2 linked regions of the Coturnix japonica genome follow. The protein of the gene in region 2 interacts with the protein of the main gene of each other region in a pairwise test. Links are inferred from orthologs where the notes say so. Each region holds a gene or a part of one and is shown on either strand. Other genes may lie near its edges.

Region 1 (5,040 bases), on a different chromosome or scaffold from region 2:
TCTGCTGTAGGTGCCAATTAGAGCTTCCCTCTGTGCCTGCTCCACTCCCCATCCTGAATTTACTGGTAGAAGTTTTGTCTACAGAAAAATGGAATGATGCTCACTTACCGGATGACCATTCCCCAGCCCTAGTAAAAATCTTCCTGCCAGCTTCTCCAAAGTTGTTAGGTTTAGGCAAGCAATGAATCCTGCGGTAATCACAAAGTGTTAAAAATAGAGCAACTAATGAGCCATTTTCTGTACTTTAAATCACTGAGATCTACATAGAAAATCTTTATGGAAGTGTAAGCACTGGTTACATCACTGACTCTTACAAACTGAGGCTTCTGTAAAAGCTATACATGTGGAAAAGGATGCCTTAAGATAAAGAGAAATGAAATACAAGAGAAGAGAGATTTTCTAGTATTGAGTTCTGATTCTTTACAAATTACCATACATTTTTTCAGTGAAAAGCACTGCCCATTATTTTGGCCCAGTCTCTTTCCCAAAATCAGCTTCATAAGCTGTTATCAGTCCAATTTAAAACAAACAAACAAACTCAAAGTCTTAAAATATTGTATATGGAGTTCTGGATTCCATAAACAAAATACAGAACAATTTCATATTCTTGCTATGAAACATCAACTAGAAAATATGAATGTTTATGAATAAACAAGCCCACAATTTATACATTATATCCACACTGATACTGATGTCTGTGTTAGTGGTGAATTCAACATCTTTAGATAGAGTTCAACAGGTGAACAATATTCAATTGCATTTTAAAGAAAATTCCAGTTTAAGAAGTCCTAAGTAAATTCATATACGGCAGGCCAACAGTCTACAGACAAATCTCAAATAAAACTGTACATTTGCTTCAAATCTACCTAGGCCCAAAAGGCACTTAGTGGTTTAAGTGTGCAAATTGCTTCTTAGAAGAAACAGTGTGCAAACAGAGCCTGTTTCATTAGCTCCGCATTCTTTAGTCATTTCCTGCAGTGTATTGCTATTAAATGGTGTCTACGGTGTAAGACTCTAAAGGACAGAAGATGGTCAGTCCACAGAATCACAGATGTCTTTCACTTTCTGGTTGAAGTCTTCAGGCTGATCAGCGTACACGTAATGACCTGCACCAAGGATAGCCTGGAGGACAAAGGTGAAGAAACAGTTAAAAGGGCAAGAATGCCATAAACGCATAAGTAAATACTGAGCTAGGTGAGGAATACTCCCCCTTGAAATGAATATCCTAAACCTGGCTTCTACACACTGATACACTATTACTTAGAAAGAGCAATTCTAGAACTGAAACTGATCTATTGCAGCCAGTGTGTGTTAACAGAGTTAGAACAACTGCTGCCAGGAGGTGGTACCATACAACCAACAAAAGACTCCAAACAGACGGAAAAACAAATGTTTGTTTCGCCCATGGAAGGAACTGTGCTAAACAGGAATAAAGGGTAAAAGAATCGCCTTTTCCATTGCACAACTTGTTGAAAAGAAGATCCAGGTAAACACAAGTCACTGCAAAACAAAGCAAGGAGAACATACCATACATATCAAATTTCTGAACAACTCTCATCTCTTTCATTCGCTGCTCAAACAGTTCTGCAGAGCAGCTTGTTAGTTCTGTGTTTGGAGAAGAGATAGCATCTAAACATCCGTATTCCCTTGCTATTATCAAAATTATATGGGAAGCTCTAAAGAACATACTGGGATAAAGGATTACCAATTCAGAGGCTTATATTGCTGAGGGTTCCCTAGCCTTGTGGAAGCAGACTTCAGTCCTCCCAGTGAAACAGTATTGCGTAAAGCAGGGAAAAGTCAAATCCAAATGATGCAATATATGGGGAAAAATACCCCGTGTATTTCTGGTCTAGATTATTTCATTGCAAGTGTGTAAAAAAAATTAAGGGCTTAAGTAACCACACACATTGTGGTGACTGCATTTTTGCTAAAACTAGCATGAAGCAAGTCTTCGCCATACTGTAGGTCAAAGGTACTTGACTATTTTAAGTTTATGGTCAGTTTGAGATTAATTTGTATTTAAATCTACTTTCCTCTGTCATCCCCTCCATTAAAACGCTTCCTCTTAAGTCTCTAAATGGAAGCACATTGCTTTAAGTGTGGCCAATTTAGTGTTTTAAAAAACAAGAACAACAAATCAAAGTAAATAATAATCTAAATAACATGCAATAAAGCCCTATGCATTCTAGCAAGTCTCAGCCTCAGGAGAACCCCTTTGCCCCTACAGCGCTGTGAATGTCTTTCCGTGCCTCTGTAATTTCCACCATCCCAATTTACCTTTTACAATCTGCATTTTAACTTGGTATACAATGAAGTTTTTCTATATGGTATGATTCTTAATAGTGTGGTTTCTTATGTTACAAGCTAATTCTTGGGTTAAGCAGTAAAGCAGCACTTTTGGATCTGGATGTTCCCATTTACAAAATGTATTTATGTTCTTTAACATGTGTAAGTTGTTCAACATCAATATCTTTTCTCCATGTTCCTGCTCTGATGTCAGCTATATCTAGATTACAAAATTTTATTTCAATGACTTGTCAAAGTTAATATCACATTATATACTTTTGTCCAGTTAGAACTAGACATCAGCAAGAAAGCAGCTGGCACACTCAAACCTTCTATCACAGCACTGGAACATGCAAGTATATTCAATTATCATGTCTGGCAGATGTGACAATACAGGAGAAATACTTCCAAAATGGTTTGTTTTTATAGGTACCATCAAAAACACAGTGTGCACATTTGTACTAAGTTAGAGGCATGTGCATCTGAAATGACAGTATCATGCCTCTAAAATAAGAATGTATTAGGTCCACAGACAACACCAAGTTTTTTTTGTAATGACTTAAAGAAAGATGCTTCCAAGAACCTAAGCAACAAGTAACAACCACTTTCTTAGCAGAGAAATTGAAGTATTATACAAACTGGTTAAAACACTTTATGAGAGCATTCTTATTATGTCATATGTATCTGTAGAAACTCAGACTGCTAAGGTTTAAAAGAGACAGACAAACATAAGTACTTACCAGTGACCACAAAAACTACTTGTATTAGCATGCTAGAGCAAAAAAAAATTGTAAAGTAGAAAAGCGATCTTGCTCAAAGATCTGATTCAGCTTCTAGAGCTTTCTTATTTTCTCTTACTCTGAAAAAAAGACTTCTGTTTGTTTTAAGCTTGATCTAAAACTTATTTCCTCTTTTTCTGTTGAAGAAATCAGAAGTTATTACCTAAGTCCATGAATCAGAGCTATCATTTCAACACTTGGTATAAAGATCGCACAGATACGCTTTGAACAAATTCACACAACGAACTAAGCAACTGCTTAAAAAGTGAACTTACTATTGTCTTCACATATGACTTTGGTCTCAGGGACTGGATAGTGCTGCCAGAATTACCATCTATGCATGAACGTGCTCCATAAACCACGGTGATAGGAATGTCTTGATCCATTTGTGGAATCCGTTGCAGCATTGGCCTTTTTGCCCATCCATAAGGAATAGTCATGTTCTTGAAAGCTGTTTCACCACTTCAAGGCATTCAAAAAGGGTAAAAGTAATTAAATTTCCATTGTATCTGCCTTTTCTCCCTTCCCAGTACCTGCCTAAGAATTCAAGTATGTGTGCCTTCTGATTATATGGCTGTAACAGTGTTTGAGGATGGAAATTCTGACTGTTAAGGAATGCAGGTTTGCAAAGTTTCAATTTGCAAATTTCAATATCTGTTTTTCAGTGATTATTTTTTGGTTGTTTTTTTTTTTTTTTTTTTTCTTTTTCTTCAGTACAGGGTAACAACACTTAAAAACAAAGAGGTGTCAATTTTTTCAAGTTCTTAAAGAAAATGATTTATTAACAAACTATAACAACTTTTGGTTAAAAAATAGCGCTCCAATTCTCAGAACTAGAACATTATAGTAGTTTAAGAGAACTAGTGAACTGGTACAGGTTCTACATCCACCAGTTTCTGAAATGCACATAAAGGGCAAAGGTAGATTTTTTTGTCTTTAATCAATACAGTAAATGTTACAATAAAAAAAAAAAAAAAAGAAAGAAAAAGCATGCACTCTGTTGCCATGACCATTGGAGGGAGCAGCAGGCCATCAGTAAGACTTCAAAACGCACACTATGAAACTCACACTCACCTGGGTGACTGCACATTGCAGTGATAGATATATTCAGTCACGGTGTTATCATCGAACATTGATGCATATTTTCGTTTGAAATCTGGTCTTAAGCGCTGAACAAGGCTTAGGCCTGTCAAAACAGAAAATGCTATTATAGGAGGAGTTGGCAGAGAAAACTATCAGACTGCTGAACACATTTCCTTACAACCCTTCAAACGTGCCCCCTTGAAAATTGTGGCTAACTCTGATGACTGCACTTAATTTCACCACTTGTAAGTCTTAGGAAAACATGGTGGCAAACAAGAATTAAACATAATTATTCTGAAGGACTTTATGTTGCCCCAGAAGAGGGACAACTCAATCCCTACTGAATACATATGGAGAATATTGCTGAATGGCCACTGTGGCAATAGGAGAAACATGCAAAGGGGATCAGCAAAAGGACTAAGCAGATAAAATTTTTAATAAAAATGCACTCTTGCCGGATACCAACGTTTTCCTTTCCCTTGCTCTGGCAGCTCTGGGTATACCAAAAGCATTCTGCCTTTCAGAACCAAAAGGCACTGTTGAAAAAAGCTAGGCTCTTTTTCTCTAGATATAAGTCTGTACTCCTTTTTTACATAACAGTCTGGTTTTTTTCTGAAGCTACTTCATCTGACTAACATTTAGGTGAAAGAACAGACGTCCATGCTGAAAAACAGGTGTAGAATTTTTGACATGAGTACAAGACATCTTGTGTGGAACCTGGAGCATTGATAGACTTGGAAGCATCGATAGTTGGTCTTGATGATCTTAAGGGTCTTTTTCAACCTAAATGATTCTACAATTCTATGATTCTATAAAATAAGAGATTCAACCTAAGAAAGCTATTATCTCCAACCTCTCTTAACAGACATAGAAGAGAGGCAGGTCCTTT
Region 2 (5,783 bases):
CCATCTGAGAGCGATTTGCACATGTCATACGACACAAAATTATTGCTTTTCTTCACCAGAGCCAGGTCTGTGTGTTCTGTTGCTTTCTGACTGCAGGGGCTGCCTGTTTAATCCCTCAGGAGATGTGAATAGAGATTATCCTAACCCGGACCAACATATTCTCTTATTATTTCTAATACTCTCTGTAAACAGAAAGTAAAAGGTGCTGTTCTCCTTTATTAAAGGAGGAGGCTGTGGAACTGAGCAGGCAAGGTTATGCAGTGCCCCAGTTTACCTAAAGTCATTGTGGTCGTGCTTGGAATTACTTCCACTCTGAATGTGAAGTGTTTGAAAATAGAGGTTGCTGAGCAGGGTAACTAAGTGTGTCTGAAGACCAAACTTGGCTTATAGCAGCTCTTCTTTTTAATACTGAAATGAATACCACTAGAAGTAGAGCACTCTGCAGGTCAGGCCTTAATGGATGTGTTGTCTTCAAGGGCTTTTTCTTGCTACTTGTTTAAGGGTTGGGTTTTTTGTTGTTTCTTTACTCCATGTGCCTTTGAGCTGCTGGCGCTGTGTGGTCCATCCCTCTCTTGGTCAGATTTGGCCATTATCATAGTGTCAGCAACCTGGTAAGGAAAGGAGAGGAGTGTTGGTGATCTACCAGCAGAGCCCTGGACACTCTTTGCCTACAACATGTATCTTCTTGCAAGAAGCTGCATTATAAATTCCTCTCAGGGGACCTCTTGGGTACAAATCAGATCTTAGGCTGGTTTGAAGACTGATTCCTCTTTTTCCCATGCAGTTCATGGGTAAGGGGGAATGGATTCACACACGTATGTAGCCCTGGCTTAGATAGATGTTCCTGTGCTCTGCAGAGGGAGCAGGGTGGTTTCTTGCCCACGTGCCCAACAAACACCGTGCAAAGACACAAACCAGTCCTTGATGCTCTTCCTGGAGGGGCTGGGGTGGCTCATCAAGTACAGACTTAACCTGGGAGATGCAGCAAAGAATTTTCAGCCTTTCTCAGCCTTACCTGTTCCATTTGGCATAACACGGGTCAGAGCATACAGGAGTAACTTTACTTGATCTCAAGCACTAATACTGCCTTTCTGCTCCCCCGCTGGGGGATAGCAGTTTAACGTACCTTAATGTAATGTGACTGAAGCCATGGGATTGCAAGCAAATGGAGAAAATCCTTTTAGTGCCTTTTGTGTGTGTGTTTCTAATTTGACAGCTGGAATAAGGTGAGCTGTTTGAACACAAGCAATAAACTTTGGTGTGTATGACACTGCATCTGTGTGTGACTTTGAGGGTGGGGAAAAGCAAAGAGATTCTGAAGGAGTCCCCTCTCAGATCACTGAGATTTCTGGAGTTGTTACAGATGTTTAATGATGAATTAAGGGCAGAGAGTGGAGACTGGCATCTCCATCTGTGGTGGGGAGGGATGGAGAAGGGATAACCAGTGCTACTGAGCTCCTACTGGTATCTTACTGCTTACTCCTATCCCCTGCAACAAGAGCTTTACAAAGGCGAAGGCTCCAAAACGTCATCCCCTGAACAATATACAAAGCATTGCATGCAGCAACGATTTAGCAAGACTTTCCTTCTGAATGACTGCTCTTACACACGCATTTCATAATAGTAGCAATTAACAGCAGAATGGTAAGTGAGATAAGTAATCTACTCAGACAGGAGGCTTTCCTAATGTTAACACTGCTTGGTGTGGTATTTCAGGAAGGGTGAGCTACTCAGCATTCCCAGGTGAGCAGCAGGAGCGACCAAAGGTCTAAAAACCAACATCTCCAGGGAGGGATCAAATGAGCCGTTTTGTAGAGGAAAGGTGACTGAGGGAGGGTGCGCGTGTGGAAGGTTTGCAGTCAAGTGTAAGGCAATAAATTAGTCTCTAATCCACCTAGGGGGTAATACACATATATTGTCACAAAAGGGAATTAAATCGTGACTGAAGAGATTGCCTGGGATGACAGTGCCCCATAGGAAGGGGAGGGGATGGGCACAAGTAGGGCAGAGGCTGTGCTGTCTGCTGATCCCTGATCTCACTGGGCAGAGGGAAGGCTGGCATTGCTCCTGGTATCATGCCCCTTCACCATGGCCAATAGAGCAGAGCTGTGAGCAGGCTGCTGCCCTTTGTCCCACTGTCTGCAGAACCCTGAATCACCGCAGCACTGTGCCAGAACCTGACAGACACCCACATGCCTCTGCCTGGGGTGAGCCCGTTAATGCAGGGCTGTGGGTAAGCCCAGGCTCTTCCAGGAGTCATGGAGCACTAAGATCACCCAGTACAACCATCAGCACACCCCCACCATGCTCACAGACTAACTCCATCAGTGCCACATCCCCATAGTTCTTGAACACCTCCAGGGACAGTGACTCCACCACCTCCATAGGCAGCCTATTCTTCCTGCAGAACACTGCCCATATGCCTGCCCTTCTGGTCCAGGTGAGTAAGGATCCAGCCAGGTCTGCTTTCTCTGTGCTGACATTCCCTTACTTTGTTAGCAGTAAGGGAAAGTGCTCCTGCTCATCCCCACTCAGTCCTTTTACCCTCCTGTCCTGCTGCTTGGCTACACCACATCCACTTTTCCATCCCTTCTTCAATTCCCTTCTCTGTATTGCACCAAACCCAAGCTGCACACCCACACTTTCTATCCCCCCCGCTTCTCACCGGCCTTGGTGCACTGCCACAGTGCTGCACAAACACAGAAAGGTCTTAATCTCTTTTGCATCCATCATCTCCTGATTTGACGCATGGGGATGATTTTGCAGCCATCCATCCCACAAGATGAGAACCTTTGGGGAGCTGTTTGCTCAGTTTCCCCAGCAACGCACGTCCCCCCAGCCCAGCCCAGAGGTGGAGCCTGGGGGTAGTAGTGCCCCAACACCACATATCCCAGGCACAGGACCCGAGTGAGGACAGATTGCTGAGGAGCTCTAGCAGAGGAGCATTGGCTCTAGAGTTTAACTGGTAAAAAGTCAAAGCTTGGGCAATGCCATAAGCACAGCACCCAAGGGAGCTGTGTGGCCCAGCCCAACCCAAGCACATCACGCTTTGAGCCCCAGCCCAGCTCAGACCTCACTGCACAGTCTGCAGCTCTGCACTTTGCTTTGCAGGAGGACGTGGCACAATGACGGCAAGGAAGAACCAGCCTTTGCAGAATGGAAGGGCCAAGGTGAGTGTGGGGAGAGGGAGAGGAAAGGGCAGAGGAGGGGAATAGCTCATACCGTGCTGTCTTGTGTGTTATCTTGGCTTGTAATAATACGGAGCAGCCATTAAAGCACGACCATTCACATACCTGCAATTAAATAACTGAGAATCAACAAAGATAACCTTGATAGCAGCCTTCAGCACTGTATCAGCAGTACCTATATTTCATCTTTGTCCCCATGGTGGACCAAAAACCTCCAGCAATGCACAGCTGGGAGCACAGCTACAGCCACTGGGGTCACTTATCCATGTGATTTCTGGGTCAGCTGGCTCCATGGCAAGATGAAATTAGCAGGAGGTGTATTTTCCTTATTGAACACGCAGATTCACAGACCAGTCAGGCCACAAAACCAGACTCAGCTTCTCTTGAGGAGTAGCTGCTGGCTGGCCCCTAACTGGTCCCCATCTGATGCACAGGAGAACGTGCTGCAGCGGGTCCTGCAGCTGCCGGTGGTGAGCTCAACCTGCGAAAGCTTGCAGCGGACCTACACCAGCACCAAAGAGGTCCACCCAATTGTAGCCTCGGTGTGTGAGGTCTATGAGCAGGGCGTGAAGGGTGCCAGCGCCTTGGCCATGTGGAGCGTGGAGCCTGTGGTGCGCAGGCTGGAGCCCCAGTGTGAGTCCATCAGGAGGGATGTGGCGGGGTACCCTCAGTGGCACAGCCCCCAGCCTTAATCTCCACCCCGTTCTCATGCTTTTGCCCTTGGCAGTCTCAATGGCCAACAACTTGGCGTGTCGGGGCTTGGACCACCTGGAGGAGAAGATCCCAGCCCTTCAGTATCCTGTTGACAAGGTAAGTCATGGGTGGGAAAGCCTCTGGGACCCTCTAGGCCCCCCTGCAGAGCCCACAGTACTTCTCCTCTGGGACAGATCCTAGTTTTGCTTCCCACCTGGTCACCAGTGATGGCAAAGGGCTTCCATAGAGCACCTCAAAGCAAGGACTTGGCCACAGGTGTGGTTGAATTGCTCCTCAGTATAGGCCAGCAGTGTCCTGTATGGCTGGCTACCTGCAGCCCAGGCTATAGGAAATTGTTCTGCTGCTCTAGGTTATGTCTTCTTGTGCAGCCCACAGTCACTCCAGCTGCCCCGTGCCATCCAGAGCACATCAGAAGGGCTCTTCTCTATCTCTCTGCCCGCAGCTTGCCTCCAAAGTGAAGGACACTATCTCCACCCCCATCCAAAGTGCCAAGAGCACCATTGGCAACTCTATGGACAAGATCCTGGGGCTGGCAGTGGAGGGCTATGAGACCACCAAGAGCACCGTGGAGACCACAGCAAGGTACACGAGGAGCAACTCAGTGAGCCAGATGGCAGCTGCCGGGATGGACACAGCTCTGGATGGGCTGGAGAAGCTGATGGAATACCTGCTGCCAGAAGAGGAGGAGGAAGCAGGTAGTACTGGTGCCAAGATCACCTCGGGGTGTCCTGGTAAGGTCTGCTGGGGTGGAGGAATCACCCAAGGCTGGCACCATGGAGGTGGGGTCTTGTTGATGGGGTGCAGGTAGAAAGAGGAGGATCTTGGTGCAGGGCCGTCCCATCACGCTGTAACATCCCACACTCCCCCTGTGCTATTCTGCCTTTAGATCTGAAGCCCAAGCAGCCCTGTAGGCCAGCAGCAAAGGTCTCACAGCAGCAGTCCAGGACTTACAGGGCTCACAGTGCTCCCAGTGCCCCCAGCAGTGCACCCAGCACCCTGGGCCGGATCGGAGCCCTGGTCAGCACTGCCTCCCACCGTGCTTACTATCACACCGCCCAGAACCTCCAGCGTGCCAAAGCCAAAGGGCAGGAACTGGTCGTCTGGATCCCCATCCTGGTGAGTCCCAGCCTGTCCCAAAGCCCTGGGACCTGGGACTCACCCCAAGCACTGGTTTCTGTCCCCCCTGCAGGGCAGTCTGGTCAAGCCAAGCCAGCCCGTGGTGCAACAGAGCCATAGTGAGAGGCAGAGCACTGCAGGCAGCTGGCGGCAGAGCAGGATGCCGGAGCAGAAACAGGAGAAAGCAGAGAAGAAGGAGGACAAAAAGAACAGCCATGCTGGTGAGGTAGGGAAAAATGAAGGTAGTGGTGAGATGGGGTCATCTCGGTCCCACCATGTTCTCGTTCTCTTCTCCAACAAGCCAAATCAAGGCACTTCCCTTCTGGCATTCTAACAGGGGCTGGGTGCAGAAGGACCCAGCAATCAGCATCTCTTGCTCAGTCCTCCTTAGGAGAAAAAGCCCTGAATTCCCAAACAGGGCTGCAGCAGCCTCTGGGCCAGGCAATGCTCCAGTTTCCAATCAGCACCTTGATCACAGTTGTTGATCTGGGGTCTCAACACAAAACATACTCCCACTGTGGTCCCAGCAGTGAACAGGAGGACCCTGGCTGGGGGTGTGGAGGACTTGGGGTACCCTGCTGACAGCACACAGGCTGGAGGACTTACCCTGGAGGTAGCAGCTCTTCTGGGACACAGGGGCAGGAAGCTGCAGGTCGGGGTCGGTGCCCTTCACCTTCACTTACAGCAGAAACGTGAGGTCCCAGAGGGCTGGGGTCTGCCTTAAATGATGGTGTTTTCTGCCTGCAGGCAGGGGATGGCCTTGGG

The links. The genes of interacting proteins can lie anywhere in the genome.
Region 1: the proteins of PLIN1 (region 2) and ABHD5 interact in a protein complementation assay, tested with the Homo sapiens proteins (3 studies listed by BioGRID, with this or other methods). The link is inferred for Coturnix japonica from reciprocal best matches to the Homo sapiens genes PLIN1 and ABHD5.

The regions. Positions count from the first base shown.
Region 1 is NC_029517.1:37,634,923-37,639,962, forward strand, and holds part of ABHD5 (1-acylglycerol-3-phosphate O-acyltransferase ABHD5), read right to left. Parts: intron 4,255-5,040; coding exon 4,143-4,254; intron 3,531-4,142; coding exon 3,344-3,530; intron 1,123-3,343; coding exon 1,033-1,122; 3' UTR 1-1,032. UniProt on the Homo sapiens protein: Coenzyme A-dependent lysophosphatidic acid acyltransferase that catalyzes the transfer of an acyl group on a lysophosphatidic acid.
Region 2 is NC_029525.1:11,486,031-11,491,813, forward strand, and holds the start of PLIN1 (perilipin-1), read left to right. Parts: upstream 1-2,141; 5' UTR 2,142-2,440; intron 2,441-2,601; exon of another isoform or gene 2,602-2,965; intron 2,966-3,111; 5' UTR 3,112-3,125; coding exon 3,126-3,170; intron 3,171-3,222; exon of another isoform or gene 3,223-3,622; coding exon 3,623-3,821; intron 3,822-3,915; coding exon 3,916-3,998; intron 3,999-4,344; coding exon 4,345-4,597; intron 4,598-4,788; coding exon 4,789-5,018; intron 5,019-5,091; coding exon 5,092-5,244; intron 5,245-5,765; coding exon 5,766-5,783. UniProt on the Homo sapiens protein: Modulator of adipocyte lipid metabolism. Coats lipid storage droplets to protect them from breakdown by hormone-sensitive lipase (HSL). Its absence may result in leanness. Plays a role in unilocular lipid droplet formation by activating CIDEC.